Saccharomyces cerevisiae S288C: one gene and its partners. Changing the gene in region 1 together with any one later gene gives a genetic interaction. Each region holds a gene or a part of one and is shown in the gene's direction. Other genes may lie near its edges.

Region 1 (7,505 bases):
GTGCCGAACCATATTACTAGTATATGTAACTACCATGTTATGTTCAATTGGCAGATCTTTAACTCGGCTTTAGTTATCCAAGTTACTTGCAATATTTCCTTCTGCGAGAGTACATTTGCCCTTAAACGTATACGAGGTATTCATTAATGTGTGTTGTAAGTATTTAGATTGACATCTATAAGAGAGATGAACATATATATATATATATATATATATATACATGCATATTTACTATAAACGCGGTTTATTCTGCCAGGCAAAGGCAATTTGCTTTTGTTCGCCAGGCTCAATGATAACGTTGATGACACTTGTTTCTCTTTTAGTCCGAGAAAGCTGCACGGCTTGTTGGAAGCATCTGCTCAGTTCGCTTATTGTGTTGACAAAAAAATCATTGGCACCCAGTCCTTTGCCTACGAGATCGTAACGGCAGTTCTTGCTTAGTGCCGTTGGAGGTAAATCACCCTCTATATCCTTTTCTCCATGGTAAATACCGCTATTGTTCATCACAACGATGACCAATGCCAGCTGACACCTTACTGCCGTTTCAATTTCCATGGCAGAGAATCCAAATGCGGAATCACCCTGAATCAGCACCACATCGAGTTCCGGATGAGATGCCTTGCATGCAAGAGCATATCCGAGCCCAATCCCCATAGTCGCGTTGGTCCCTGCGTCTAAACGGCGCCTTGGAGCGTCTGTAGGGAATGAAATACGCGCAATATCCATAGTATTTGCTCCCTCCGTCACAAGTATTGTCCTGTAATCATCGATAAGAGGCCTCAATGTTCCATAAACCTGGTTGTAATTCAATTGTGCCCCTCTAGTCTTCTCTTTCCTCAATAGACGAGTTTGATTCAGTTGAATTTTCTCTCGTATTTCTTGCTTAACACCACTATACTTCCAGCAGGAATCTTGGCGAGTCAATTCCTCAACTAAAGCGGTTACGCTCAAGCCTATATCTCCCCATATGGAAAGGTCAGCACCAGGTGAGACATTGTTATCCCCCAAGGTTTCGGGATTGGAATCGAACTGGATGAATATGGATTCTGAGTTCCATTTGGGTGAAGTACCAAAATGCAATATCCAGTTTAATCTTGCCCCGAGAACAAGAACAATATCCGCTATTTTCAATGCTTGAGATCTTGCAGATGAAACGTTCAGTGGAGAAGAGTCTGGGACAATTCCCTTAGCCATTGGGGTGGGTAAAAATGGTAGATTGAACGTATTTACTAGTCTGCGGATTTCGTGTGAGTTTTTTACCGCACCCTTTCCAATAACAATCAGAATATTTTTATTTTTATGTTGCAAAATAAGCTGTACGACTTTTTTGATCTTCGACGGATCAGGGCCACATATGTTTGGAGTTAATATCATCGGTAATTCATTTCCTGTACGGTCGTTTCCTTCTAAGGGTTTTTCATACTCAATAAAATCTGCAGGGACGTCTATGTAAGAAACCCCTGCAGTGCCTTGTATACAGTAATTCAAAGCCTTCTGAGTAATCATGTCAATATTGTCAGGGGTTAACTTTCCGGTAAACTTCAAAAATGGGGACAAAAGACTAACTTGATCCAACTCTTGAAACCCGCCTTTATGTATATCACTTTGAGAAGAACTCCCTGCAATTACTAGAAGAGGCCACCTATTACTCATTGAGTTGTATATACCAGCCAGTGCGTGGATTAAACCGGGGCCCCCGACAATAAGTAACACGCCGGGCTTATCACTAATATAACCATAAGCAGAGGCTGCATATGAGGCAGCCTGTTCGTTCCTGCATGGAATGAATTTGATACCGTTGGCAACCATCGTATCCGCTAGTTGGACAATAGGGATGCCCACAATTCCAAAGACTGTGTCGATGCCATATTTTTGTAAAAGTTGAGCGAAGTGTTGGGTAGCGGTCGTGGTCATATTGATGGATGGTTGTGACGGTTTGAATGTAGAGAGTATATTCTTCTTATCACATAAAAGTAACCAATGCCTTTTTTTTCCTTTATATATAATGTGGTTATATACCAACCTTTTGTAAATTTCCAACTTTTTTCTTTAGTTAGCTTTGCTTGAACTTCGGGCCGAAGGGCTCGGATAAGAGAAACAATAATTTTGTTTTCATAAAACATCGATGGCTTGACTACTTCTTTTATCCTGTTCCTGAGATTCTTTCATCTTGGCGATCTTACACCTTAGTTCCATAATAGGGTCTCTTACAAAATCCCTCATTGAAACGACTTGAGAACACGCTGCTTGCGGGCAATCTCTTGTCGTGTATCCTTGTAAATAGTTTTGAATGCCGTCTCTATCGAAGACGTGATTACATTTTCTTGATATCAATGGTGCTTCGTAAGGTTTGCAGGTGATAGGACAAGTCAATTCAATTTTACCACCTTCTATTTGTAGATCGTCTTCGTCTGCGGGGTTTTGCAGATCCGGTATTACACAAGTTGGATCATTCCATATGTACGGCAACACTTTTAGTATCTTGAGTGTATCTGTGTTATTAACCATGGTTGCAGGCTCTGGTGTGGGCATATTTAGATATAATTCAGATAATTTGGGAGCGGTGAGTTCTCCGGTACGATATTTATCCCAGGTAGAAAGGTCGATTTGCGGACAGGCATCTGAGGATTGTTTGAAATTTTTTTTTAAATCTTTAATATGTTCGTCAAATGAGTTGGATTCCGATTCGTATGTCGAGAGGAGTTTGTAGGTGCTAGTAATATCTGCGACCTGCTCTTCAATGCCGATGGTGGAAGGAGATGTAGAATCCACTAATTGATTTATGGTCTCATCAATTTGTTTGTAGCATTGTTGATATATATTTGATAAGTCTCGGGCATGTAAATTATGGAAGTACTTACCTGATTTTGGGTGTAGAGGAACTGACTTGGGTATAGGATTATCGTTCAAGGCCATTTTTAAAGTTATTCTTTTTTTATATAGTCTTGCCTTGGTTTCTTTAACTGACACGATTATTTTAGCAAGTTTTTTTCTACACAGGAAAAGAGGAAGAAAATAACCAGAGAAGCACTGGTAAAAAGATACTTCTGCGTGCCGGAGTAACCAGAATCAAAGGAACGCATAGATGGATAAAGAGGTAAGTGAATTGGTAGTGTTGCAGCTAATACACACTTTAATTTCCAACAAGAATGAAGAACTGGTTAGGAACGGGGGAGGAATCAACATGATTGGGAATAATCTTCGAATATCGCTAGTCAAGTTGACTAACGAAATACAAAACAATTTGCTAATCAACGAGCTGACAAATTTAAGAAGGCAAAGCAACGTGGCAAATGGAAACAGGAAACTGGGCATCAACGATATCCTGACCATAGTTAAGAATTTATTCCCAGAGTACAGAACAACACTAAACGATGGACAACTTAGTCTACACGGTTTGGAAATGCATGATATCGAGAAGCTCCTTGACGAAAAGTACGATCGATTCAAGAAAACGCAGGTCGAACAAATAAGGATGATGGAGGATGAGATATTGAAGAACGGTATAAAGACCGGTGCATCGCAACTGCAACCACATGCAAATGCTGGCAAAAGTGGATCTGCTGGTACCAGTGCTACTATAACTACGACTACGCCACACATGGCGCATTCAATGGACCCAAAAAGAGAAAAACTATTGAAATTATACAGAGATACCGTTCTGAATAAATTGGAAAGTAAAACTGGGAATTTTCAGAAGCTATTCAAGAGTCCCGATGGTAGCATTATCAAGAATGAGATAAATTACGAAGACATAAAGAACGAAACGCCCGGCAGCGTTCATGAACTGCAGCTGATTCTTCAAAAGAGCATAACGGACGGTGTAATGCGAAAGGTCATTGGTACGGACGACTGGAAATTGGCTAGACAAGTGCAGTTTGAATTGGATGATACGGTGCAGTTCATGAGAAGAGCACTAGAGTAAGGAGATAGTAGGCGACACTTCGAAAATCTAAAGTCTTGTAACATTACTATTATATACTATTTTATTAAAAAAATACACACACAATTCTTTAACAGAACAATATATAACAAATGAAGCGACATGTTTCTCAAAAAAAAACATAGTAGGTAGGTAAAAATGGGAAAGAACGGGACAAACAAAACGAAGAGCAGGGTGTATTTGCCCACACACGGCAAACAACATCCATTCACGCCCGCATGCCCAAAACTTTTTTGCGATAAAACGCCCACGCAAATCACATCGTTCCAACAGAGGAATCGAACAGCACAGATACAAAGTAGGAATATAGCACACACACAGGAAAAATTAATTAATTATTAGAAATTAAAAGGGTTGGGGAGAAAAGAGGTCTAATTTATTCATTAATATTCAGTAATTGAAAAAAAAAAAAAAAAGAGGATAACTAAGAGAAAACAACATCAAGCTCGTTTGGCTTGCTAGTGATCGCTTAGAATCTTTGTAAACCTCTTTGTCTAGCTTGCCATTTTCTGTAGATAATGGTAGAAATGATGGCGATACAAGCCAAACCGACTAGAATAAAAACTAAGATAACACCACCTGGTAACGTGCTCATCAACATCTTTGTATAATTGTTATTGTACTATTTATTGTTTTGTATGTATACGATGGAGAAAAAGAGAAAGGAAGAAGGAAGGACGAAAGAGAAAAAACTGGAAGGGAAGAAGAATTGATTTTATATTAACCAAGAGGAAGGAAAGGAAATTGAGTTGTGATTACGGAATTTTAGTTTTTTTCACTGTTTATTTAAACCAAAAGGTGTGGAAGAGAAAGAGAGAAAAAAGTTCTGTAATTCGTTAAGGAAATTAAGTATCCGCGCCGGAAAAATAGCGAGAGGTTTTTTTTGATGCAAAAGCTAGGGAGGGCTGCGGACGGATTTCGAAAACAGCTCAACAGCGTGGTGACGAGTTGCGTCAGGGTGTTGGCCAGTGCTACCGCGGGCGGCGCTGCACAGGGAGTAAGCAGAGCGGGCTAGAGCGCGGTTTTGGAGAGGGCCCGGGCTGCTGTGGTCGTAGGATTGCGGTAATTTAGTGGCTCGCCCTCGTTTGTCGTGCTTTTTCCGAGTTCCGAAACTCTTTCCCGAGCTGTTAATGTGCTAAAAGTGGTAAATCGTATATGATGATATACGTATATGATGATAATTTCCTGCGCGCTACTTGCGTGCATTCGTCACTCATAACAAAAAGAACTACACAATACGTAAACAACGTGCGAAAATATCTATATACAAGGGGAGAAAACAAAAGTGAAAGTGCATTACAGCCCATCACAGATCATTATAATACAATATGCCGACCAAGTCAACTTTTAGTCGCTGGAAGAAGGCGGACCTAATTGACCTGGCCAACAAGCTGGAAATTGACGGCTTCCCCAATTATGCCAAGAAGAGTGATATGATCGATTACCTCGAATCGCACTTGAATCATCTTGAGAAACCTGTGGATTTTAAAGACGACTACCCGGAACTAAGGTCCTTTTATGAGTCGATGACAGTGGACCAGTCAAAGGATGAACGGAACGAATACGGATCCGGATCTGGAAACGGGTCTGGGTCTGGATCCTGTGACACCGCCACAAATGATTCCGATCTGGAGAAAGCGTACATCAAGGAGGATGATGATGAGAAACCGCAATCAGGCGATGAAACAAGCGCGACAAAGCCGCTTTCCAGCAGGAATGCAAATTCAAACGCCAAAACGAACTTCAATTTGTTGGATTTTAGCACAGATAACGACTCGTCCACCTCTGCGTTTACTAAGTTCAAGTTTAACTTTCAGGAATACCTCTCCGATATTAGATACCAAACGCAGAAATTGAATGAAAATGTTCAGGACTATCTTTCCACTATTTCCGCCGTCGATACGATTTTTTCCTTGTTGGAATTCTCTTTTCTGGTGAGAAACATATTAGCCGCCGGGCAGCCAACTTCTTCTTCTTCGCTCGCATCGTCGCTGGAAGCCGCCGTTGCCGCCCATAATAAATATCAATACACGCTCGATTTCTGTTTACCAATACTCACGTGGCTGCTCTTCTTTAGGGGTATTCCAACGTTAGTGTCATACTACATCAACTTCATCCGCTACGACCTGAACATCGAGTTGGACCCGATGACTTTCAATCTCACGAAATTCTTGATTTCTTTGGCAATCTTCAAAACTTGTAATAATAAAAACATAGATTTCCATTCTTTTCGATGTGTTAACCAACTATGGACACAACTCTGTACAGTGAACCGTTCCCTTGGTATGGTACCTCTAGTATTCTCCATGGTTAGTTGTCTCCTCACTCTATACGTATTATAGTATATTTTCTTACATACGTATACACACGCGTACGTAAGCCGCGAAGTGTGTATTTACTACTCTGTATTATTGTAATAAACTCTTCTCCTTCTTTGTCTTTTCTTCTCCCAAAAGCGCACTTGCCTTGATCAGCATATTGTATACTTCGATGTTTTCAAATGGAGGTACGACTTCATTGTTGAACATCGGACCCATTCCAATGAATATAGATGCCATATCACTACAGTTGTTAAAGTTGTATCCATGTGTGCCCATAATGCCGATAGGCACATCACCCATTTCTTTTACAATGGCGTAGTATTCATCTGCGAGAATCCAGATATCGCCGACCCTATCGTCATATCTGTGCTTTCTGTTATCGTATTGGAAATATTTCCAGCTCGGGTCGAAATCTTCTTTCAGGATCACGTGAAACTTCCTCGATATTTCATCTCCATATGCTTTCTCTAACTGAGCTTCAATCAAGTCACAAATCCATTGCTTGTCTCGAGGGTTTTTCAAACATACCATCATCATGGGGCCCTCGTTATAAAGATGCGAAATAAATGCGCTCATTGCGTCGGCCGGGAACACCCTTTCCCACACAACAACATGCTCACCGTCATTCGCGTTGACATTGCTCATGCCATGGTCACTAACAATCATAACATTGCTAATTTTCAACAAGTTTCTTTTTTGCAGGCCTTCAATCAAATCGAGAAAGAATCCATCGACTTCACCGATCAGCTTTTGTAGCCGCTTATCTCGTAAATCGTATCCAAAACTGTGTCCGTACGAATCAACATTGGGTATATAACTTATGACCAATTCTGGCCTATCTTTAAGCTGAGGCATATCTATGTATCGGAAAATTTGAGCTAATTTATCTTGAAGTTTTTCCCATTGATTGAATTTCCCAAAATAAAATGGCATTCTTTCCCTAGGTACATCCCCGTGGTCCTCATACACAACCTCACTTCCAGGCCACATATGCGTGGCCACTTTATATTCGCCTTGCGATTCAGTTTGCAGTAGTTGCCAAATAGGGTCAGCCGTGTTGCTCCAAATTCTTGCGTCGAGGTTATTTGGTCTAAATTCGCTACTCGTGAAATTATCCCAGAATATATTGGAAACAATACCGTGCTCAATGGGATATTTTCCCGTTACCATGCTCCAGTGGTTGGGAAATGTCTGAGTGGGAAAACTTGGGATCATATACGGTGCAGTCGTGATATTCATAT
Region 2 (9,255 bases), on another chromosome or scaffold:
TGTAGCAAGGTTTACCGAACTCGTTTTCCTGCAATAGCGGATCTTCGTTCCATTTACCATCTGGTGGGCCGTTAACGTGTATAAAGACAAATTTGTTCCAGTCGGGCTCATCTATCATGTTTACGCTACCTTCTGTATCATTAATAGCCTGAAGTTCTTCGGGCATGTATTTCAGGATAGAATCATTGACTAGTTTCAACCAGATCAGGGAATGCGTGTCATGGTATTTGATTTCATCTTTGGATAGTAAATCTGTAAGAGAGATCAGCGAATTTTCATCTTCATTTAATTGGCGCAAATAAAGTGAGAATTTGTCAATTTTGCTTAGCCTACATCGTATGTAGCTTCTAATAACAAATTTCAATCTTTCTAACTCAGTTTCCATGCAGAGTAAAGGCAATTTAGATTCGTTAGGCATAGGCGGGTTCGCATTAGAAGCATTTTGCATATCGAGGAATCCCATTGAAATGTTTTCAATTAATTGAGATTGCATGGATATTCGATTCAATAATCTTTTCATCAACTGATGAGGATATGGTAAGAGTTCTGGCGAACACCGTTCATTTTTCCAAGACTTCATCAAGTCAGAAAAATCCTGCTGGGGAGAGACATATATCTGAGTCTTGTCATTCAAGTCTAAGGACGAACCCACTATTGTATTTGCATCTCTGTGGGTAGTGGAAGAAGAACCTTGCGTGATCTTGGTAGAGTCGACAGCAGTAGTTTCCTTATCCAGTTCTGCAAGAATATCGTCTATGTTAATGTCCATCACCGAGTCAGGTATCTTATTCTCCTTCCCAATACTAACAAATTTGGTTTTTCTTACCTATGGCTCAAATATAATGCTATTGAAATTTTCAGTACTAGTCCAAGGCGAAAAGAAAAAGAAATGAACTAGTTTTCGTGTTTTGCCGTAAACAAAGAGAAAAGGGAAAAAAGAGCATCACAGTTGGTTAATCAACCAAAGAGGAAGAAGGATTGAAACATTAAGATGGAGCGATTGAAGCAACTGGAGGAAAAAAGGAGACAATTGAAAGAGCTGCGTGAGAGGCGAAAACAAGCCAGCTTGTTCCCTGGGAGCGAGACGATGGGCCACCATCCCACAGAGGTGCACGCTAAGGCAACCATGGTCAGCGTTTCAGTGCAGACCGACATGGAGGAAGGCTCAAAGATTCAAGAGCCCCAATCTGCATATCTTCGACGTAAGGAGGTTATAACATACGACAAAGGCATTCAAACAGATCAAATTGAGGAAGAACAACTGCAAGAAAATGAAAATCACACCACTACTGATGCTGTCGCCATTGAAACTACTGCTGCCGACGAAAATAATAAAGACAAAGCTGAAAACGACCAGCCAAGGTTAGAACTAGCCAAACCTTTTCTTGTTGAAGAGGCGGCGGCAACGCTGAGCAACGCTAGTTTTGCGCGGCTGGAGACAGAGGTTTCTGCGTCAGGCCAGCAGGCGCCATCGAACATGCAACAGGATAAAGACAACCTCATGCAATGGAACATGGTCAGTGAGAATTTACAATCAGAGACAGACTGCGATTGTATCGCTCAGGAGTATGACCCAGGAAAAGGCGTCTTGGTTGTGGTTTATCTACGATTGCCGCCGGCAGACCTACAGTATGCTAGCAGCGAAGCGGCGTGGTCTGTGGTGAATGTAGTCAAGTGCGATAATGCCAGCGGACGCAACGGCCTCTTGATAGATATGGTAGAGTTCCGTGGTACGCGGATCATGACAGCCACGATCCTCCGTCGGTATCATCCGGAAAGCAATGTAATATCAATCTTGTTGGCGACCTTGACGGGCAAGATCATATTGTACGAGCTTAGATTGAAACAGAAAAAGCCAGAAACACCGGTAGTGTATGTCGTGCAGCGAAATATGGTGGCAAGACACTACTTTCAGCACCCAGTGGTGGCTGTAATTGAAACAAGCAGCGTGCAAGATCAAGAGAGAGTACTTGTGGCAGCTGATAATGGCAATATTATGGAGTTGAGCTGCCTGGACTTGACTGTTTTGCGGAAGCCACAGCAGCTCCGTCCTGTACCGCTATCACAGCTTTTATCTTTGGAGAATGATACTTGCACATATACGGAGCGATTGCAGCGGTTGGCAAAGTTTGATGAGGTAGGTATAGCTTGCATGGCGTACACGAGTGAGGACCCGCAGTACGTCTGGATCGGTGGCGAAGACGGTGGTATATACAAGGTTTTCTGGGACCAACCTGGGCCGCTGTACCTCTCTTTGGACAACAATGGGTTCCAACCTGCAGAAAACCACTCTACGAGGGTAACCGGGTTAGAGTTTCATTGGGACGATGCTCGGCGGCTAATGCTTCTATTATCATGTTCCACGGACTGGACGGTGCGGCTGTGGGACGCGCGAGCAGGGAAAGCTATCATAGGGGCGCCATTGTTGTTAGGGGGGCCCGTACTACGTGCACGCTGGCTCGAAAAAAACAATGGAGGGGAAAATAGTCGCACTCTACGGTGTCAAGTGTGGTGTGCAGATGGTCGCCTCGTTGTTGTAAATTGGGCTTTCGATGCTAAGACGTCCCTCTACACGGCCACTGTTATCTCCTAACGCCGCTTCGAGGCGGGTGAGCATAGGTTATTGCCTGATGAGTAATTTCTTAGCGAGAATTGATAAAAAAAAGCAAGGCTATTATTAATATACGTGCTATTGTGAAATTTTCATTGGCGTATATATGTGAGGTGAATGTAAATATCTCCAACAAAAAGCAGAAGGCTAAAAAAAAGGAAAGGAAAAGAAGAAAAGGCAACGTCGAAAATGTTTACACCAATTGATCAAGCTATAGAACACTTCAAGCAGAATAAGTTTGTAATTGTTATGGACGATGCCGGTCGTGAAAATGAAGGTGATCTTATTTGCGCTGCTGAAAATGTCAGCACTGAACAAATGGCCTTTCTTGTACGCCATTCCTCAGGCTACGTCTGTGCACCTATGACGAATGCCATTGCTGATAAGTTGGACCTTCCACTACTGAGAACAGGCATGAAGTTTGAATCCAATGATGACGACAGGCATGGAACTGCATACACAATAACTGTAGATGTAGCCCAAGGCACTACCACAGGTATTTCTGCTCACGACAGGTCGATGACTTGTAGGGCTCTTGCAGACTCTTCCTCTACGCCAAAATCATTTTTAAAACCAGGGCACATCTGTCCCTTGAGAGCCGCTGATGGCGGTGTTTTGCAGAGAAGAGGCCACACTGAGGCCGGTGTCGATTTGTGTAAACTAAGTGGACTAAGTCCCGTCGCTGTTATTGGCGAATTGGTTAACGATGACGAACAAGGAACTATGATGAGATTAAATGACTGCCAAGCGTTTGGTAAGAAACATGGCATTCCTTTGATCTCCATCGAAGAATTGGCCCAATATTTGAAGAAATAATCTGGTGAACATTTTCTCCATTCATTCTATCACAACAGACTCACACATATATACATGTATATATTTGTAACTTTGTATATATCTTTTGTTTTTTGACCTTTTTCTTCCTCTATGTTTTTCAGCCATACAAAAATATGGGATTTTTAGCAAGAGAAAAAGTACATCTAAAAAAAGTAGTAATAGGAGGAAGCCAAGATTGGTTGAAACACAGTTATAAACTCTTCAAGGCAATTATGAACAGGATTTTCGGATATGGGAACAAAAAGAGCCATGATCAGCTCTTACAAGAGTCGAATCAGTCCATGAATCAGGCCCAACAATCACTATCGAACAGAATATCCCAGTTAGATACTCAAATCGCCCAGTTAAACTTCCAGCTGCAAAATATTCAAAAGAATTTGCAAAGATCAAACAACAAGCAACCCTCGTTAAGAAAACAGGCTTTGAAGATTTTAAATAAACGTAAACAGTTAGAAAATATGAAGGATTCTTTAGATTCTCAATCCTGGTCCATGACGCAAGCCCAGTTAACAAATGATAACTTACAGAACACAATGATCACTATAAACGCACTAAAGCAAACAAACAATGCCATGAAGGCTCAATACGGCAAGATAAATATCGACAAACTACAGGACATGCAGGATGAGATGCTGGATTTAATAGAACAAGGGGATGAGCTGCAAGAAGTCTTGGCAATGAATAATAACAGTGGCGAGCTCGACGACATTAGTGATGCAGAGCTGGATGCAGAGCTGGATGCTCTGGCACAAGAGGATTTCACTTTGCCAACCAGCGAAAACTCATTAGGTAACGATATGCCCAGTTACTTACTAGGTGCGAATGCGCCACCGGCTTTTATTGATGAAGAGCCAAACTTAGATACTGAAGACAAAAATAAAGCTTTAGAAAGCGCTCAGTGAAAACAAAAAGCACACAAAGTTGCATATTCAGAATTTTTCTCTCCTTTCCCTTTTCTTTATATTCTCTTTGCTGGTAAGCCAAAATATGTACCTTATTTAGGTTTTAGTAGTTTTCTTTTTTCTTTGTTAAAAAAATCCTGATGGAAAAAACAGTAAGCAGAAAGCACCATGTAGTCTAATGAATACAAATAGAAGTGAAACCGAAGCAAATTCACAGTGCACGATGAGTGATGAAGGTGCTGATAAAAGTCTAGATACTAACACAGAATTTATTATACAAACACGATCTAGGAGGTCTAATGCCGGTAATAAATTACAAAAACTATTGGAGCAGGAGCTAAGAGATATAGAATCTACCAAAAGACAAATTTCTTCCTATAAGAATGGTAATGATGATGAAGAAGATGAAATAGGGCTGTTGTTTCAGGAAGATGAAGATGATGAAGATTTCGAAATGATGGCAAAAGATGACGATGATGAAGGGGAAGAAAAAGAAGATGAGACTCAAAGTATAAGGAAAGAGCCCTCTCAGGCTTCAAGTGAGCAAGCAGCCGATGACTTAATGTTCAGCAGTAGCGAATCTGAGGACTCCAGCAACGAGAATGATGAAGATGCAGAGGAAAAGGAAATACGAAGACAAGAACTACTTTCAAGAAAGAAAAGAAACAAGAGATTACAGAAGGGTCCCGTTGTAATCAAAAAACAAAAACCTAAGCCTAAGTCAGGAGAAGCTATACCAAGATCGCACCATACCCATGAACAATTAAACGCAGAGACGTTACTATTAAATACAAGGAGAACTTCTAAAAGATCATCGGTAATGGAAAACACGATGAAAGTTTATGAGAAATTGTCTAAAGCTGAAAAAAAGAGAAAAATTATACAAGAAAGAATAAGGAAACACAAGGAGCAGGAGTCTCAGCATATGCTGACACAAGAAGAGAGGCTACGGATTGCCAAGGAGACTGAGAAGCTGAATATTTTGTCACTGGATAAGTTCAAGGAACAAGAAGTTTGGAAAAAGGAGAATCGTCTAGCTTTGCAGAAAAGACAAAAGCAGAAATTCCAGCCAAATGAGACTATACTGCAATTTTTATCTACTGCTTGGCTAATGACGCCAGCGATGGAGTTAGAAGATCGTAAATATTGGCAGGAACAATTGAATAAACGTGATAAGAAGAAGAAAAAATATCCGAGGAAGCCAAAGAAGAATTTAAATCTCGGAAAACAGGACGCATCAGATGATAAAAAGCGGGAGAGTGAAGAATCGATAAAGAACGATGGCGACGTGAATTCTTTGGGTGAGAATTCTTCATCTGTACACAACCAGAAAAGGATTGAGGAAACTTCTACTAACGATACAGTTGAAGGAGAATCGAGTCCAGATGCAGCGGTGAGTAGAGTAAATTCAGACGAATTAAAGCCAACAGCATTACCTGATGTTACATTGGACGCAATTGCAAACAAGCAGAGTACCGTTGATGAAGCTCCCAACAGCCAACCACAAAAGAATATAATAACTAATGAGCAAAAAATTACCAATGTAGGCGAACCGATACAAAATTTACATAATGAAGAAATTAAAGATGAAATGGTAAGTGCTCTCGAGAGCAGGGAAAATACTTTTGAAAACTCATCACCTGCTGCCCAAGTGGTCTCACAAAGGGATAATTCTGCAACACCTACACCATCAAACTCCACTGGCACTGAAGATACTATATTGATCTCTCCGGATACGGATATAAAAGGAGAGCCTGAACCTTGTCTGAAAACCGAAGGCATCGAGAACTTATCTCATAATGTACCACAAGAGACCAAAAGCAATACTGATGTTTCTTTCTTGAAACAAGTAACGTTTACCGACCATCCGCAAGTGGCCATAATCGATACTGAAGAGTCACCCTCAAAAAAAGATACAGCTAATGTTGATGAATCTTCCGCGGAAAACTCTTTATCAACACAGACCTACGAAGGGCCTGAGCAATTAACCTCAAGGAACTTTGTTACACTTTATGATTTTCCTAATGCTCCTCCAAATCTAAAAGATTTTAACACAAACTTATTTGGTGATCGATGGTCATACACAAATGGGTTATCCGCCACTCAGCGTCCACAAGATATGAAAACTGTTTTCCACTCCATTTTACCATCACCTCCTCAGTCTTCAGTACCGTCTCCTACCGTAGATATATCACTTGATCTGTCAGCTCTGGCAAATTTCCCATCTTTTGGGGAATACGATAAGAAAATAGTCCATCAAATCAACACAGAGATAAATAAGGATTTGGAAATCAAAATTAAAACACAGCCTCCAACGGGTGTCTTCTTAGCCAATGGTATAAGAAAAAAATGTTTAATCACAAATAAAGAATGTCAGTACTTTGATCCAAGGACTGGTGTGCCTTATTCTGATGTGGAAGCTTATAAAATTATTCAGCGGATTCAAGATCCTATTTCTAAGGAGGAGGGAAGGTCAGATATCAAGCGTGATGAAACGACAAATGAGGATAGTGACGATCAAGTGAGATTCAAGTGGTTTGGGTTCAAAAACGGCGGTATTTACCTTGATTTAAGTCAAAGACCTGCAAAAGGTGTTCCTGAAGGATTTTAATTGAGACAGACTATATAATGGTAGGTCGTTAAACATTTGACTATATTCCACACAAAATAAGAAATCATAAAGATCATTTTACATAAAAATATACTTTATACGCTCCATGTCTTATACAATCGTTACATTCATCAATTTCTGGTGAAAGCTTCAACTAAAGTTTTGAAATGATTTTCGGTCTCTCTGATTATTAGTGGTACGCTTGAATCATTATCGTCGTCATTCGCAACTTTCGTACCAACATTTTCAGCAGAATCAAAATTGTAGTTTTGTGCATCCGAGTCATTTATATTTAAATGTAGATGCAATTGCTGTAGGTTATTGTATAAATACATGTAATTTGTAGCCAGAAATCTTTCTGGTGATTTCGTCTTTTTACTGCACTTTGTCATGACTGTTTCGAAATCATTTCTTAATCTAATGATGGAATTGTATAAGGGTTCAGATCTTTCGTCTATGGACTGCTTATGTGTTATTGCCAACGTCAAGAAGCTTGATAAAAATTTACCGAACTGTACAGTTAACTCATGAGGTGAGGTCAAAGGGCTACTATTGGATGTGCTTGAGTTGCCGGCATATTTTGCCACATTTGTAGTTATTGCCGCTTTTCGTAAGCTCTCGCATTGAAAATCGACCAATTGCTGAAATCGAGGCCATAATTGAATTAATTGACCATTCAAGAAACTATCAAACATAGACGGTATTCCTCTCCTTTCTGATTCAAATTGTAATTGATTGGCCACACGAATACTTATTAATACACCAAAAATGTCATAATTATATTGGATCAGTTGTTGAGTGTATGTTGTGGCTTCATCAAAAGTTGGTTGAAATATTTGTTCCAATAAACCATTAATTTCCTCAAAATTATCGCCATTCATAGCGAAGAAATCTTTTAAAAAATGGTACTCCACCGTACAGTTATCTAAAATTGCAAGGTTTAAATTTTTAAATCCAATTTCAATGTAGTTTTTCGTTGTGTTATTTTCTGCAATTTGGGATACCATTACCGTATTGTCTTCTTGTGTTAAAATGTTCAATCTTTTCTTTATCTGAAAGTATTTATCAATTTTCTCATCTGTTACAGGGAGTTTATTATAGAAAGCATTTGAAGCGGATGTAGTTAGATAATTTGAGAAAAACAATGATGGTGAATTGTTAAACCCACTCACTGAAGTTGTAGAAAGGCCATTACCCAATGCAAATTGCGAGTCGATTTGTTGAAATTGCAAAATAGTCAATGACCTGATATATCTAGAAAAGTATTCTCTATAATACCATTTCATTGTGTAACAATATGCCTGTCTTAACTCAAGGGCTAAGGAGAGATTATTATCTCTTATGAAGGGGAAAATTTTTTGAACTTTTAATAATTTGTTTTGTATCCTTTGCGATGGTACTGGGTTATGACTCCTCAAAGTTTTGATTTTGGAAATAATAAGTCTTTTCGACCTTTCTAGAATAACATTTTTTAGGATGTCCAGGAGTTGACATAACTTATCAAAATCCTTTGGTGCTAGCATTGCTGAATTTTCTGCGTCCTTGTTGTCTTGATCGAGATTATTGGACCTATACTTGTTATAAATTTCTTCTTTATCTGCTATGAATGTTATATTATCCTGCCAGCTTTCATTGATCTTCCCTTTAATGATGTCATCAATGAGTTCAGGAGGAATCATCAAATCATTAACCATAGGAGAGATATGTGCCAGTTTAGTGGAGTTGTATTCGAGCAATGACTGTAATTCATTGGACTTTTTTTTAATGAAGTCTAAATCTTGTGTGTAATTTGATAACCTATTAGTGAATTCGGTTAAGTAATCAATCAATTGAGGAATAATTATATTAATAGCCGCTTCATTGTTAGAATGAGTTTCCTGTAATGATTTAAGTTTAGCAAATGGTGACTGATCTTTGTTTGAAGGCGCTTTAAATTTACAATCCTTCAAATAGTTTTCAAAAGGATCATCCGTTTCATTTGTTTTATCTCGGCTCGTTTCCTTCAGCTGGTCAAATTTATCTTGGTCTAGTGACAACACCTCTTTGAGAACATCCATAGTTCTATGTCTTCAGCTAATTTTTTTACGCTTTTGTTGCTTATAGCTTATTCCTCTTTCCTCTCACTTGTAAAAACTCTTGATATACCTTATATTTTTTCGAACTATTCTCGGAATACGCTAATGAGAATAAAAATATTCGAATCTTTAAAAAAAATGTGGATTGCCTCACTTATATGTTTGATACGCAGTCCTATGTGTACTTAACCAGTTATAAAAATAAAATATAAATAGAAA
Region 3 (7,205 bases), on another chromosome or scaffold:
ACAGTAGTACCGGTATAAGAAATTTCAATTACACTCCCGTTGGTGACCGACTCGATCAGCCTTAGAAAAGACACTTCATAATCTTTCAGACCGGGATTTAAGTCGCCTGAACGGATTTTTTCAATTTTTATTGGTTTCCCTGATAATGTTGCCAAGACGATCCGTAACCTAAAATTTTGTGACCCTTGGAAAGTGGTGTATTTGGGGGCGGAAGATGACATTGCTATACTTTTGGAGGATTATCCTAGTGGAAAAGTGTTGACAATGGTGAAGCTTGACAGATGTTATACCCTTACAACATACGTAGCTTATGAAGGCTCATCTCATCGGCACTTTTTTGCAAATTTTTCTGAAATTTTTTCAATCTCGAGTCCGTGAAAAATTACATTACCAATATGGCGAGGGTAATTCTGACATCCTCCTTCAAAGTAAGTGCAAGTAATAAAAGCAACTTGACTACCCATTTAAAGTATTAATACGCTTTGCGCGGGGTTATAATTATAAAGTTATATCTTTTAAAGAAGAGGTCTGCTATATATAGACCTCCGATGTCATTAGTGAAGTTCCTTAAACATGGTCTTGCCCGAAAGGGATGATACTTCAATGCAAAGGGGAAATGCTCATTTTCTTTTTTTATTTTAGTTTTTTAGTGATTTTGCTAGTCTTTCAGCTTTATGTTTCGTTATTTTATAGTGTAGTTCTTTGATTTTTATTGCCTCATTTTGTATACCGTTATTACGCAAGAGATATTATACTGCTCCGGTAAACATCAATAAAGTAAGCATAATCATAGCAGAGAACTTTACACTTATGCCAGATAAATGTGATCCAGAATTAGTAGCTGCCTTTTTCTCAAGGGTTGCAGTAGCCGAAGGAATTTCCGAAGACGAAGATGAAGACGATGATGAAGACGATGACTGGGAAGCTGAAGATCCGGCGTAAAGACTTTCTTCTTGTCCTATGGAGCTGTTGAAGCTATTGACGTTGATAAAGGAGTGGTGAACATCCTTTTCAACATCTGGTAATGGGGTAGTATCCAGGGTACCATTCCAGCAATAATTTTTAAAACAGGTTTCACATTCCGGAGGCAAAGTAATATTCAAAGCTTGTTGCTTACGTCTAATGATGGCGCAGCCGACGCAGCCCATGAATTCAGGATCATCAGTGAAGTTGTTCCTAGTTGCAATTTCAAACCCGTTTTGAATCATACTTCTTCTTTGGGATTCGGAATATGATAGCTTGAACGCGCTCTGATTACTATTGAAAGAGTATTCTGCATTTGGCAGATAAACAACTAGAGGTGGAATATATTGAAGATCGGTCAAATTATTAGCATCGCAACCGAAGAAGGTTGGTTTCTTGTTCAAACCCAAATTAACGAATGTATTCGTATCTGGAACATATGGGAAGGACATACCTTGACCTTGCTTAACGAATTGACGCTCATAGGTATGGACTAAAGAAGAACCGTCAGGCCAAGCCAATCTCATATCGGCAGAATTATCTACCGCAAAAATAATGTCCACATCACGTTCCTTTTGTATAAGCGGTAACACAGGAACATTTTCGTCGTCTTCACCGCCGTCAACTAAGAATAGGCTGTCTGAATCAACAATACTTGTCGTATAGTCACTATCCAAAAACTTCGTGTCTTTAAATGGATTAGGACTGTAAACAGCGATATCATTAAAATCTTGAGATAAATCCTTTAGAAAATGTCTTGCTAATCTTGTGATGAAACTAGGTAAGTGAGTGGAGTTTATTCTCAAAAGAAACTGGTTAAATAAGGTGGAGGAAGTACCCATGATAAAACCTGCATTATCAAAGCCTGCGGTACATTTTCCCCTTTCCAATGGTACACCATTGGAGACATTCGTTCCAAGGTACTTAACGTTGGCAAAAGAGTTCAAAGAGGGATCCCAGGATCCCATTTCAAAGGGATTAAATTCAAAAACCGTTGCGTTCAAATTGATGACTTTTGTTCCAGGATACCTACCGTCCGCAACAGAAATTGGAAAAGGCATTTCAGCATTTTGAAACACTGGGAAATCCCTAATGGAAGACCAAGTCAGGCCTATACCCCCTCTATTTAGAGAAGGGAAAAAATTATACGCCAAGGCTCTGCCCCAAATATCGGCCAAAGAAGTATTGTAATCGGCGTTCTGCTTAGATTCGACAGCATTAGAGATATGATCCCACCTTTTGGCTGTTTTGAATATATTAATGCCGCCGGGGGTAACAATAGAATCTGACAAATCCCAAATAGAATCGTCGTTCTGCATATTATTAAGAATGTCTTGCACGGATGTCCAATTGTTCAAGGCTAATGTACCAACTAGCCAGTTGCCGCCCGAGGCACCAGATAAATATGTTGTGCTTTGTAAAAGTCCACCCAGCCCATGCTCATAAGCACCTTCAGTTCTGTTATCCATTGCTGCTAGAACACCCGCACCTGTTAGCATGGACCGATAGCCCCCACCTGAAACGGCGACAGCAATTTTCGGCAGGTTTTCGCTGTTGCCATCATTAAATAGCTTCGACAAAACTTCTGAGCTATCTGAAAAATTTGCAGTAGCCCTAGTCAAGAAATCTTTTAAAGCTACACTAGTGACTTTATTCCTCTTTTCCAACCATGCGCTCTCATTCTGAGATATAGACGTAGCCTCTCTTACCAGATTTATGTCATCGGGACACGACACGGTGCCAGGAACATAACTATCTGTGGGCGACCACGCATTAGCGGCCAGTAGAAACTGAGAAATTGCGAATATGTAACTGATAATAATTTTTGAACATAATGGACGTATCATTACTTATATTATTATGTGTGTAATTTCCTTGCTTTTAGTCCTCTTAAAACGGCGTATTCCAAGCTGAAAAGTGAAATATTAGAACTCGTAAAACCACGTATAACTTATATAAAAGTGGATGAAAAGCGTAACAATAACATAGTAGTGTGGTAATAATGGTGATAGAATCCCTGCAAGTCTGGATCTTGCAAAAGAAGTGCCAAATTGAGTAATTCCATAGCCAAGCCATCTTAAAAGCAGGGAAAAAGAAAGAAGAGAAAAAGGCTCATTGCACAGAAGAACCAGTACAACATTCGCGGAACCGGCAAGATATTTTCGTGGAGGACTAAAGCGAAACGAAAACGGATGAAGTTGCGGTATTTCCTGATTTGGAAGTTCTATGGGGCGTCCACCGGTTTCAAAAAAAAAGGAAAAATGATTTGCGTTTTAGTCATTGAGAACGAAAGGAGGAATTGGATTACGCGGGCAGTAATATGGTGCGCGATGCTGGCGTATTAACGCGAGATGAAGGAGGCTGAAGTCAGGAAAACTCATGTGAGTGTGACGTTACCGATGACATTATGGACACTTTTAAATGGTCATGTGACGCGGTATCACAGGAGGCAAACAACTGTACTCAGCAATTTCCCGATCACCTACTAACTGCGCTCTCTTCGCCTGGTATGCTCTTTTTGCAACGCACAAAGCTTCGTATAGTATTCATTATACGATTATTAGGAGTGCTGATGACTATCGTCTGTATTCTCTGAAGTGTTTGCCGCTGTTGTGTCTTGCCTTGCAACAGCGTATGTTTACCGTTTTATATATTGCGTGGCGCGCACCCGGTGATAAGAAACATCCATGTGATAAAACTCCGCACGTTGCTTGATTAATTAACCTCGGAGGTGTTACCCGCAATCAATATGTCTGCCAGCCGCCCGCCCGCCCCGGAGAAAAGAGCTTAGGACAAGAATCACTGTCTCTTACCTTGGAATCAGGGCAGGTCCGCACAAGCGGTAGTAAGCACATACCTAAAATAGCAGTATTCTTCTTTCTTTAGAGAACGTTAGACTCAATTGAAAAGGTTTACTGAATGCATCCATGCTAGATTAGCACACAGTAACTTTACGCCCGTAACTTACTACTCGTAGAACTGGCCGCTGGTGTTCCGTAACCCGCCGCGCTCGCTCCGTGCACGAAAACAACAAAACAAAAAAAACAACAAATAAAGCATACAGCTCTATTTAACAGCTGAACTATTATCCAGTGTAATAGAGTCACAACCCCCAACTAAAAAACACTGCGGACTCTATTATACTTCAGTCGGAAAAAATATCGTTAAATTCAATTTCGCACTATAGCCGCACGTAAAAATAACTTAACATAATGTCAGGAAAAGCTCATGGAGGTAAAGGTAAATCCGGCGCTAAAGACAGTGGTTCATTGAGATCTCAATCTTCTTCAGCAAGGGCTGGCTTGCAGTTTCCTGTCGGTAGGATTAAGCGTTACCTGAAAAGGCACGCTACCGGCCGAACAAGAGTAGGATCCAAAGCTGCCATTTATTTGACTGCTGTGTTGGAATATTTGACTGCTGAAGTGCTGGAGTTGGCTGGTAATGCAGCCAAGGATCTTAAAGTCAAGAGGATTACCCCAAGACATCTGCAATTGGCCATTAGAGGTGACGATGAGTTAGATTCTTTGATCAGGGCTACAATTGCTTCAGGTGGTGTTTTGCCTCATATAAATAAAGCATTATTATTGAAAGTGGAAAAAAAGGGAAGTAAGAAATAAGAAGAATAGTTTTTCTTTCCCATTTCCCGTAATTCTCCCTGCTCCTGTATCCTCATTCTATCCATATTAACGTCTGTATCATTATTATAAGTTGAAATTTGTCTCTCCGTACCCGAGTTATATACATACATATATGTAATCTATCTCTCCTTTCACGTCTAATCTCTTATGTTTTTACTATAATATATAGCATGAAAATATACTCTCACACAATATTCCCAACGATAGCGCAGTAGCCGTTATGTACGCAGAAATTTGGTCAGGGCTTTCTTTTTGTTGAACTTTGCATACCCGGAAAAATGGAAATTAAGGACACCTACAAAAGTACACTGTAGAAATCAAATCAAAGAAAAGGTTTAATAGACGATAAATTTCCATACGTGCCGACAGGACAAAAAAAAAACCCCCCTACCATTTCTAATAACAGCTTCACCACTAGTTATACTGTCGACTTTCTACCGATTTGTTGGTTCCTTTTTATAACCAGAAAATCATCTATCAATTGCAATTTGTAAGAGAAGGGGAGAAAGACAAAATAATAATATGGTGCCAGAAAATAGAAGGAAACAGTTGGCAATTTTTGTAGTTGTCACATATTTGCTCACATTTTATTGCGTGTATTCAGCCACCAAGACAAGCGTTTCCTTTTTGCAAGTAACACTGAAGCTAAATGAAGGCTTCAATCTAATGGTTTTGTCGATATTCATCTTATTAAATTCTACCTTACTATGGCAACTCCTAACGAAACTATTATTTGGTGAACTGAGGCTTATTGAGCATGAGCACATTTTTGAAAGGTTACCATTTACCATTATAAACACCTTGTTTATGTCCTCACTGTTCCACGAACGGTATTTTTTCACAGTGGCATTTTTTGGACTATTACTACTCTATCTGAAAGTTTTCCATTGGATTTTAAAGGATAGGCTGGAGGCCTTATTACAGTCAATAAATGATTCCACCACAATGAAAACCCTTATCTTTAGTAGATTCTCATTTAACCTCGTACTATTGGCGGTTGTAGACTACCAGATAATAACACGATGCATCTCCTCCATATATACAAACCAAAAGAGTGATATTGAATCCACATCCCTTTACCTGATACAAGTAATGGAGTTTACCATGCTTTTGATTGATTTGCTAAATTTATTCCTACAGACTTGTTTGAATTTCTGGGAATTTTATCGCTCACAACAAAGTCTGTCTAATGAGAACAACCATATTGTCCATGGCGATCCTACAGATGAAAACACGGTTGAGTCTGATCAATCTCAGCCAGTGCTGAATGACGACGACGATGACGACGATGATGATAGACAATTTACCGGCCTGGAGGGTAAATTCATGTATGAAAAAGCAATTGACGTATTCACAAGATTCTTAAAAACGGCACTTCATTTGTCTATGCTAATACCATTTAGGATGCCTATGATGCTTTTGAAAGATGTGGTGTGGGATATCTTGGCACTATATCAAAGTGGCACAAGTTTGTGGAAAATCTGGAGAAATAACAAACAGCTCGACGACACTCTTGTCACTGTCACCGTAGAACAGCTACAAAATTCTGCAAATGATGACAATATTTGTATCATTTGTATGGATGAGTTAATACATTCTCCAAACCAGCAGACGTGGAAGAATAAAAACAAGAAACCCAAAAGGTTACCTTGTGGCCACATACTTCATTTGTCGTGTTTAAAGAATTGGATGGAACGTTCTCAGACTTGTCCTATTTGTAGATTGCCTGTCTTTGATGAAAAAGGTAATGTTGTGCAAACGACTTTCACTTCCAATAGTGATATCACGACACAGACCACCGTAACAGATAGCACTGGGATAGCGACAGATCAACAAGGTTTCGCAAACGAAGTAGATCTACTTCCCACAAGAACAACTTCCCCTGATATAAGGATAGTGCCTACTCAAAATATAGACACATTAGCAATGAGAACAAGGTCAACCTCTACACCATCTCCTACGTGGTATACGTTCCCATTACATAAAACTGGTGATAATTCTGTTGGGTCAAGCCGATCAGCCTACGAATTTTTGATCACAAATTCAGATGAGAAAGAAAATGGTATTCCTGTCAAATTAACAATAGAAAATCACGAAGTAAATTCTCTGCATGGAGACGGGGGCGAGCAAATTGCCAAGAAAATTGTCATACCAGATAAATTTATCCAGCATATCTAGATTGCATGTTTTATATTATACATAGTTTTTTTTAAAGAAAAAAACTACTGGATGAAAAACACACACACACACACATATATATATATTATACATCAGCGGAAATTACTCGATATCTAGAAATGCGTACACATGCTACATCGATCAGCTACGTCTGACCGAATACTTTTCAATAGTAAAAAAGGGGGCGAGCTGGGAATTGAACCCAGGGCCTCTCGCATGCTTTGTCCCCCTGTTAATCAGGAAGTCGCCCAAAGCGAGAATCATACCACTAGACCACACGCCCGATCTTTTCTGAGAACCATGAAAAGACTCAGAATTTATAATACACATCATGGCCTTCCAAAGCAACTCAGCCTATGTTGAAATGTAATTCTAGTACCATCCACTTATTATTGGTATTCATGTTACTAGTATATTATCACATAC
Region 4 (8,868 bases), on another chromosome or scaffold:
TCTATATTTGAACATATTATTGTAAGGGCCTTTTTCTTTATTCTCTTCTCACATATAAGAACCATTTTATTATTTTAACTTTAAAACTACTTTCTATATAAATCCTACGTTTTTTCCAAATATCTAGGAGACAATCCCGTTCTCCATCTTTATATGGACTAACTCATAACTATTTAATAAACCTCTCAAGTGGCACAATGCCGCAATAACAACTAGAAAATGGAAAAGTTGGTGAGAATGACCCCAAATATCAAATTTACCGGGGCAAATCTTTTCAGGAAACCGCATTCCATAAAGAACAGCGCCAATTATATATAGGACACCCCCAAGTAATACCCAAAAGAGCTGAATTTGGGTCCAAATTTCTGAAAAACTATAGCAGTAAAGGCCGCTGAATATTGGAATAATTGAGGATAAACCAAAACAAACAAATAGCCCAGCTCTGTAAGGTCTCCACTCTCTTTTCCGAAACTTATCTTTTAGTGACACAATACTACACGCGATCCCAAAGCTAACGGTAATAAGCGCAAATAGGCAAAATAGGGAAAATTTCTCAAAATAGCCGTAGTACAAAATACTGACCATTGACGTAACAATCAATATACAAATACCAAGGTAGTCCAACTTATTTCCTAAGGTAGCAATTCTTAAGGAGTGACTCTTTAGACAATGAAAGGAGCTACTCAATATTAAACATGCAAACGCCCCCGAATAAAAGAGGTCGATTACCATATGATCTAGCCATGTAGTTGTTGCAAACACTTTGATAGTAGATTTATCTAGCAACAGTACAGTGAAGAACCCGAGAGCAGGAATTAAATGTGAATAAATATTGACACTTTCATTATGCAAATAAAACAAACTTTTAAAAGTTTCAATGAAGCTACTAGTTTCTTTCACGTATCCATGTAAAATAAAATCATTGTCTCTTTGCCATTCCGGAATTTCATCCCAACTATATAGCCTTCTTAGTACTTTTTTAGCTTTAGCGACCTCTGCGGGATTTGCGGATGTTTTCCCTGCAGCTCTCTTCTTCAGCTCTTGCACACTCTTAGTCCTTTCTAATAAAGTTGACATTTGGAATGATTCTTCTCCAACATGCAGCATAATTAAAACGACGGGAAATTTAGTACATTTGGCTCAAGGAACGCTGACATAAATACTATTTCTAATCTACTATTCGAAGAGATGTTGGATTTCTAAAAAAAAAAGAGCTCAACAACGGAAGACCGCCTATTAACCCCGAGTGTCTGTTTTTTAGTATACTCGAAGCAAACAAGAAAAGTTTGTTACTTAATTTCTGGCCTAAACAAGGTAGTGCTACCCTAGAGGAAGTACGATATCAGTACACTTTTGTATTTTTAACGAATTATGGTATTCTTTAAAATATTTAACATGCTATCGAGTTTTTCTTTCTAAAATGCGGTTTCAAAATTTGAGTCCGCTTTCTATGGAAAATATGAATGAGGCGAACGTGCTTGTACCATAGTCAGATTTTAACCCGTAGGTGAGAGCCTGAGGCTTCTGTAAACCACCTTGGAAACACATACGGGTTATAAGATTTTAACAAACAATCAGTCTCCATACTCATCCTAGGATCTCTTCTTCATTTGATGAATAAAGGATTCAAACTTCAGAAAGTTATTCAGCGTATATTGGCTTTCCTTTAATCTAATGCCCCAAGCCATCATAAATAGCCATATTACTTTGAAAGTGCTCATCCGTATACACTGCAACTTTTCTTCTTTTCTCTTTAGCCGATTATAGCTCCTACCTGTTTTTTTTTTCTTCTTAAGATTATTTATATTCCAATTTTATCATCCGTATTGTTTCCAATAGCGTTCCAGTGATCAGTTATATACTTCGAGAGGCAGATAACCTTTCTTTTTATAAGTGTTTATCAAATTTAAGTCTGCAAGCTATCATAAGACGAGGATATCCTTTGGAGACTCATAGAAATCATGGAAAGCACATCAGGAGAACGTTCCGAAAATATACATGAGGATCAAGGGATACCAAAAGTAATTCTGCCCGCTGATTTTAATAAATGCTCTAGAACTGACCTAGTGGTGCTCATATCACGAATGTTAGTATCGCTGATAGCAATCAATGAAAATTCAGCAACAAAGAAATCTGATGACCAAATTACTTTAACACGATACCATTCTAAGATTCCTCCAAACATATCAATCTTCAACTATTTCATACGACTGACAAAGTTTTCCTCTTTAGAACATTGTGTGCTTATGACATCACTCTATTATATCGATTTATTGCAAACTGTGTATCCTGATTTTACGCTTAATTCGTTGACTGCCCATAGGTTTTTATTAACAGCCACCACAGTCGCAACAAAAGGCTTATGTGATTCGTTCTCAACAAACGCCCATTATGCAAAAGTTGGAGGAGTACGATGTCACGAATTGAATATACTGGAGAACGATTTTTTAAAGAGAGTAAACTACAGAATCATTCCGCGGGATCATAACATTACGTTATGTAGTATAGAGCAAAAACAGAAAAAGTTTGTCATAGATAAAAACGCATTAGGGTCTCTCGATTTGGATTCTTATTCTTACGTTAATCGTCCAAAAAGTGGATATAATGTTCTAGATAAATACTATCGAAGAATAGTTCAGCTGGTGGGTTCCTTTAACGCTTCACCTGATAAGAGTAGAAAGGTTGATTATGTTCTCCCGCCAAATATTGATATAGTGAGTGAAAGTGGCTCCCAAACTACTCAACTAAAGGGGTCGTCATCACCCAATTCTCACTCTTCACAAAAGCGATATTCTGAGGCAAAGGACGCACATATCTATAACAAGCGATCAAAGCCAGATTAATGATTTTTCGTGGGGTATTATGAAAGCAATCATGATTGAGCAAAATTAAAACTTTCCATTTGTACATATATATATATATATATATATATATCTGTGTGTGTATAATAAGCAATTGGCCATCATTTGGCTAAAAAGTTCAAGATTTCAGGTAGTATATAAGAGAATAACTTCCCTCTTTTGCTAAAGAAGGATATGTTCTATTTCAGCCTTTTTGCATCATAAGAGCATAAGCGACAGAAAACACTTCGAGATGAGCTTGAGAACTCCATTTCAATTAACTTGATAAATACATGTAGATTCATATCATCACTGTTCTTTTCAGATACTAGTTTCAAAACTTCCTTGACAGAACCATTTCATGTTCAATAATGAAAATTACTTTCACATGTTTTAGTGGAAAAATACTGAACAATGAAATTTCAATATCGCATATAATAATTTTTGTTATCAAATATATATTTTTCGGAAGTCATATACATTAAATAATTAAAACATTATTTTTAAAAATTAAAAAAATATATTTTAGCAAATAGTTTTTACTTTTTTTTAAATGCAAAATAAGTTCACGTGATATTATTAATAATATTTTACCCAAAAATATGAGGGCATCGGAAAATTTTTCAGTAATGAATATTAATGTTCATCTGAAGATAGACGAAATAGGAACAACAAACAGCTTATAAGCACCCAATAAGTGCGTTATGACTTCTGAAAATCCGGATGTACTTTTATCTAGGGTGATAAATGTGGTGAGAGCAGCATCATCGTTAGCCAGTCAAGATGTAGACTTTTACAAGAATTTAGACAGGGGATTTAGTAAAGATCTGAAATCAAAAGCAGACAAACTTGCGGATATGGCGAATGAAATAATCCTCTCTATTGATGAGCATCATGAATCATTTGAACTTAAAGAAGAGGACATTTCTGACTTGTGGAACAACTTTGGAAACATCATGGATAATTTGTTAGAAATGTCAGACCATTCGCTGGATAAGCTGAATTGTGCAATAAACTCAAAGTCAAGAGGTTCCGATCTTCAGTATTTAGGCGAATTTTCAGGAAAGAATTTTTCTCCCACCAAAAGAGTCGAAAAACCTCAGTTGAAATTTAAAAGTCCAATTGATAACAGCGAAAGTCATCCGTTCATACCTTTATTGAAGGAAAAACCAAATGCTTTGAAGCCACTCTCTGAGAGTTTGAGGTTGGTTGATGATGATGAAAATAACCCCAGTCACTACCCCCATCCTTATGAATATGAGATTGATCATCAAGAGTATAGTCCAGAAATTCTCCAAATTAGAGAGGAGATTCCCTCAAAATCCTGGGATGATTCGGTACCAATTTGGGTAGATACAAGTACAGAACTCGAATCAATGTTGGAGGACTTGAAAAATACGAAAGAGATTGCCGTTGATCTTGAGCATCACGATTATAGGTCATACTATGGTATTGTTTGCCTCATGCAAATTAGTACAAGGGAAAGGGATTATTTAGTTGATACTCTAAAACTTCGCGAAAATTTACATATTCTGAACGAAGTGTTTACGAACCCTTCAATTGTGAAAGTTTTTCACGGTGCATTCATGGATATTATTTGGCTTCAGCGAGATTTAGGTTTGTATGTCGTTGGTCTCTTCGATACTTACCATGCGTCTAAAGCAATCGGTCTTCCTAGACATAGTTTGGCCTATCTTTTGGAGAATTTTGCCAATTTTAAAACTTCAAAGAAATATCAGTTGGCTGACTGGCGTATAAGACCGCTTTCAAAACCCATGACGGCATATGCTAGAGCAGATACTCACTTTTTACTAAATATATATGACCAGTTGAGAAACAAACTTATCGAGTCTAATAAGTTAGCAGGTGTTCTTTATGAATCAAGAAATGTCGCAAAAAGAAGGTTTGAATATTCAAAGTACAGACCACTGACACCTTCTTCAGAAGTTTATTCTCCAATCGAAAAAGAGAGTCCTTGGAAAATATTGATGTATCAGTACAACATACCACCTGAGAGGGAAGTATTAGTAAGAGAGCTATACCAATGGAGAGATCTTATTGCAAGAAGAGACGATGAATCGCCACGATTTGTTATGCCAAACCAGTTATTGGCTGCACTTGTCGCATATACACCTACTGATGTCATAGGTGTTGTTTCTTTGACCAATGGCGTAACTGAACATGTCCGCCAGAATGCAAAACTATTAGCTAATTTGATAAGAGATGCATTACGAAACATCAAGAACACCAATGAGGAAGCTACTCCCATTCCATCTTCCGAGACCAAAGCAGACGGAATATTGTTGGAGACTATAAGTGTTCCTCAAATCCGTGATGTTATGGAAAGGTTTTCGGTGTTGTGCAACAGCAATATTTCCAAGAGCCGAGCCAAGCCTGTCACTAATTCTTCTATTCTGTTGGGTAAGATTTTACCACGTGAGGAGCATGATATTGCATATAGCAAAGACGGCTTGCCAAATAAAGTGAAGACGGAAGATATCAGGATCCGAGCACAAAATTTCAAGTCTGCCTTAGCAAACTTGGAGGATATCATATTCGAAATAGAGAAACCTCTCGTTGTTCCTGTCAAGCTAGAGGAGATTAAGACAGTAGACCCTGCGAGCGCACCTAATCACTCGCCTGAGATTGATAATCTTGATGATCTTGTTGTTTTAAAGAAGAAAAACATTCAAAAGAAACAACCAGCAAAGGAAAAAGGTGTAACGGAAAAAGATGCTGTGGATTATTCAAAAATTCCGAATATCTTATCTAATAAGCCTGGCCAAAATAATAGACAACAAAAGAAAAGGAGATTCGACCCATCATCTAGCGATAGTAATGGACCAAGGGCAGCTAAAAAGAGGAGGCCTGCCGCCAAAGGTAAGAATCTGTCATTTAAAAGGTGATTATGTAAAACAAGCGTATTTTTTTATTTATAAATTATGGTAATTTTCATTTAAGACCTCTAAATTCATCTAATCGAATATCTGTGTCATGGAGTTATGGCTCCCCCATGCACACCATTTTCTCTTTTTTTGTTTCTGTGTTTCCCTTCATCTCCTTTATTATGAAAAGTACAAGTTTTATATAATTTCAACGTCGGAGGTTATCCGGAAATCTATAGTTGAATTTTTGCAGGATTATACTTCGCTCGAATATTGTGCGTGTTAAATACTCAGCGAGAACAATACTTCCAAGTTAGAAAAGGGATTTGCTCATGTTAAAGCAATGGCACTCCGAATGGACGGTGTCAGGAATTCTTTTCTTCACATCAGGCTTCGCATAGAAAATGGCCATTGGCAAAAGGTTACTGGTGAACAAACCAGCAGAAGAATCATTTTATGCTTCTCCAATGTATGATTTTTTGTATCCGTTTAGGCCAGTGGGGAACCAATGGCTGCCAGAATATATTATCTTTGTATGTGCTGTAATACTGAGGTGCACAATTGGACTTGGTCCATATTCTGGGAAAGGCAGTCCACCGCTGTACGGCGATTTTGAGGCTCAGAGACATTGGATGGAAATTACGCAACATTTACCGCTTTCTAAGTGGTACTGGTATGATTTGCAATACTGGGGATTGGACTATCCACCATTAACAGCATTTCATTCGTACCTTCTGGGCCTAATTGGATCTTTTTTCAATCCATCTTGGTTTGCACTAGAAAAGTCACGTGGCTTTGAATCCCCCGATAATGGCCTGAAAACATATATGCGTTCTACTGTCATCATTAGCGACATATTGTTTTACTTTCCTGCAGTAATATACTTTACTAAGTGGCTTGGTAGATATCGAAACCAGTCGCCCATAGGACAATCTATTGCGGCATCAGCGATTTTGTTCCAACCTTCATTAATGCTCATTGACCATGGGCACTTTCAATATAATTCAGTCATGCTTGGCCTTACTGCTTATGCCATAAATAACTTATTAGATGAGTATTATGCTATGGCGGCCGTTTGTTTTGTCCTATCCATTTGTTTTAAACAAATGGCATTGTATTATGCACCGATTTTTTTTGCTTATCTATTAAGTCGATCATTGCTGTTCCCCAAATTTAACATAGCTAGATTGACGGTTATTGCGTTTGCAACACTCGCAACTTTTGCTATAATATTTGCGCCATTATATTTCTTGGGAGGAGGATTAAAGAATATTCACCAATGTATTCACAGGATATTCCCTTTTGCCAGGGGCATCTTCGAAGACAAGGTTGCTAACTTCTGGTGCGTTACGAACGTGTTTGTAAAATACAAGGAAAGATTCACTATACAACAACTCCAGCTATATTCATTGATTGCCACCGTGATTGGTTTCTTACCAGCCATGATAATGACATTACTTCATCCCAAAAAGCATCTTCTCCCATACGTGTTAATCGCATGTTCGATGTCCTTTTTTCTTTTTAGCTTTCAAGTACATGAGAAAACTATCCTCATCCCACTTTTGCCTATTACACTACTCTACTCCTCTACTGATTGGAATGTTCTATCTCTTGTAAGTTGGATAAACAATGTGGCTTTGTTTACGCTATGGCCTTTGTTGAAAAAGGACGGTCTTCATTTACAGTATGCCGTATCTTTCTTACTAAGCAATTGGCTGATTGGAAATTTCAGTTTTATTACACCAAGGTTCTTGCCAAAATCTTTAACTCCTGGCCCTTCTATCAGCAGCATCAATAGCGACTATAGAAGAAGAAGCTTACTGCCATATAATGTGGTTTGGAAAAGTTTTATCATAGGAACGTATATTGCTATGGGCTTTTATCATTTCTTAGATCAATTTGTAGCACCTCCATCGAAATATCCAGACTTGTGGGTGTTGTTGAACTGTGCTGTTGGGTTCATTTGCTTTAGCATATTTTGGCTATGGTCTTATTACAAGATATTCACTTCCGGTAGCAAATCCATGAAGGACTTGTAGTTACATTTTAACTTATATAACTGTACAATGTCAGTCAGACGCAACTGATATAAAAGATGTGCTCTACAAGTAAAGATTATTTCAACTCTTAAAAATATTTGAAAAATGCACTATAATTTGATCTAAATAAGGTACAGATAATGGTAAGGCAAAACTACTACATTTGGCAGTGAGTATTGTTAGCTTTTCCGCTTATTTTCTCTCCTGGAGTAGCCACCGTTCGCGTCTTCCGAGCAATGGCGAATCTCGAATCTCGGAAGGGCGGCTACTGATAACAGGCACTCATATATATATTATTAGATAAGAGTTTTTTTTGACTGAGTCCTTATAACACGTAACTTATCAAGTTGCTATATTGTAAGTTCAGGTTTCCAATCTGTTCAACCACTTTATATCTTTAAACATGAAATTCTCTACCATCTTACCTATACTTTGGGCAAATTGCTGTCTTTGTATGATCATCCCTGATTTCGACGGGATAGTTCGTTTTATTGAGAATATTGATGGTACTCGCAGTGTAAGAGCAGGAGAAGGTTTGGGACAGCATGATCCTGGAAATTTTCACACTGAACATCAACATGTCGCTCATAAAACAGAGTTTCTTCCTTATCGGTATGTCATAGTCTTTAATGAAGATATTTCCCTCCAGCAGATTCAATCGCATATGCAAGTGGTACAGAAGGATCATAGTACCTCAGTAGGTAAGCTTACAGAAAATGACGCTTTTTGGAGGGTAATTTCTTCTTCAGTATCATCTAAATCTCAATTTGGAGGTATTGATAATTTTTTTGACATAAATGGTCTATTTCGAGGTTATACTGGCTATTTCACTGATGAAATCATTAAAATAATCTCCCAGGACCCAATCATAAAGTTCGTAGAGCAAGAAACTACAGTAAAAATATCTAATTCGTCATTGCAGGAAGAAGCGCCTTGGGGTTTACATAGAGTTTCGCACAGGGAGAAACCAAAATATGGACAAGATTTGGAATATTTATATGAAGATGCCGCCGGAAAAGGTGTCACATCATATGTACTCGACACAGGAATTGATACCGAGCACGAGGACTTTGAAGGGCGTGCTGAGTGGGGAGCCGTTATACC

What was found.
Region 2: mutations in EAF5 (region 1) and VPS72 together harm fitness more than expected from each alone (negative genetic interaction), as found in Saccharomyces cerevisiae (7 studies listed by BioGRID, with this or other methods).
Region 3: mutations in EAF5 (region 1) and HTZ1 impair growth when combined (synthetic growth defect), as found in Saccharomyces cerevisiae (7 studies listed by BioGRID, with this or other methods).
Region 4: mutations in EAF5 (region 1) and RRP6 together harm fitness more than expected from each alone (negative genetic interaction), as found in Saccharomyces cerevisiae (5 studies listed by BioGRID, with this or other methods).

Annotation. Positions count from the first base shown.
Region 1 is NC_001137.3:118,386-125,890, forward strand, and holds EAF5 (Eaf5p), read left to right. Parts: upstream 1-3,085; coding exon 3,086-3,925; downstream 3,926-7,505. Other genes in the region: PXP1 (putative indolepyruvate decarboxylase family protein), read right to left, coding at 232-1,914; SUMO ligase MMS21, read right to left, coding at 2,113-2,916; PMP2 (proteolipid ATPase), read right to left, coding at 4,413-4,544; GTT3 (Gtt3p), read left to right, coding at 5,272-6,285; nucleotide diphosphatase/phosphodiesterase NPP2, read right to left, coding at 6,352-7,505. UniProt on the Saccharomyces cerevisiae protein: Component of the NuA4 histone acetyltransferase complex which is involved in transcriptional activation of selected genes principally by acetylation of nucleosomal histone H4 and H2A. The NuA4 complex is also involved in DNA repair.
Region 2 is NC_001136.10:1,422,526-1,431,780, reverse strand, and holds VPS72 (Vps72p), read left to right. Parts: upstream 1-4,573; coding exon 4,574-6,961; downstream 6,962-9,255. Other genes in the region: DNA replication protein SLD5, read right to left, coding at 1-769; PAC11 (dynein intermediate chain), read left to right, coding at 992-2,593; 3,4-dihydroxy-2-butanone-4-phosphate synthase RIB3, read left to right, coding at 2,801-3,427; VPS60 (Vps60p), read left to right, coding at 3,661-4,350; VPS52 (Vps52p), read right to left, coding at 7,093-9,018. UniProt on the Saccharomyces cerevisiae protein: Participates in the catalytic exchange of histone H2A for the H2A variant HTZ1, an euchromatin-specific factor, leading to chromatin remodeling and changes in transcription of targeted genes. Indirectly involved in vacuolar protein sorting.
Region 3 is NC_001147.6:300,954-308,158, reverse strand, and holds HTZ1 (histone H2AZ), read left to right. Parts: upstream 1-4,175; coding exon 4,176-4,580; downstream 4,581-7,205. Other genes in the region: RCL1 (rRNA-processing endoribonuclease), read right to left, coding at 1-221; PLB3 (lysophospholipase), read right to left, coding at 750-2,810; E3 ubiquitin-protein ligase HRD1, read left to right, coding at 5,124-6,779. UniProt on the Saccharomyces cerevisiae protein: Variant histone H2A which can replace H2A in some nucleosomes. Nucleosomes wrap and compact DNA into chromatin, limiting DNA accessibility to the cellular machineries which require DNA as a template.
Region 4 is NC_001147.6:323,288-332,155, forward strand, and holds RRP6 (exosome nuclease subunit RRP6), read left to right. Parts: upstream 1-3,544; coding exon 3,545-5,746; downstream 5,747-8,868. Other genes in the region: IZH2 (PAQR-type receptor), read right to left, coding at 124-1,077; PHO80 (Pho80p), read left to right, coding at 1,962-2,843; ALG6 (dolichyl-P-Glc:Man(9)GlcNAc(2)-PP-dolichol alpha-1,3-glucosyltransferase), read left to right, coding at 6,130-7,764; putative subtilisin-like protease YSP3, read left to right, coding at 8,168-8,868. UniProt on the Saccharomyces cerevisiae protein: Nuclear-specific catalytic component of the RNA exosome complex which has 3'->5' exoribonuclease activity and participates in a multitude of cellular RNA processing and degradation events.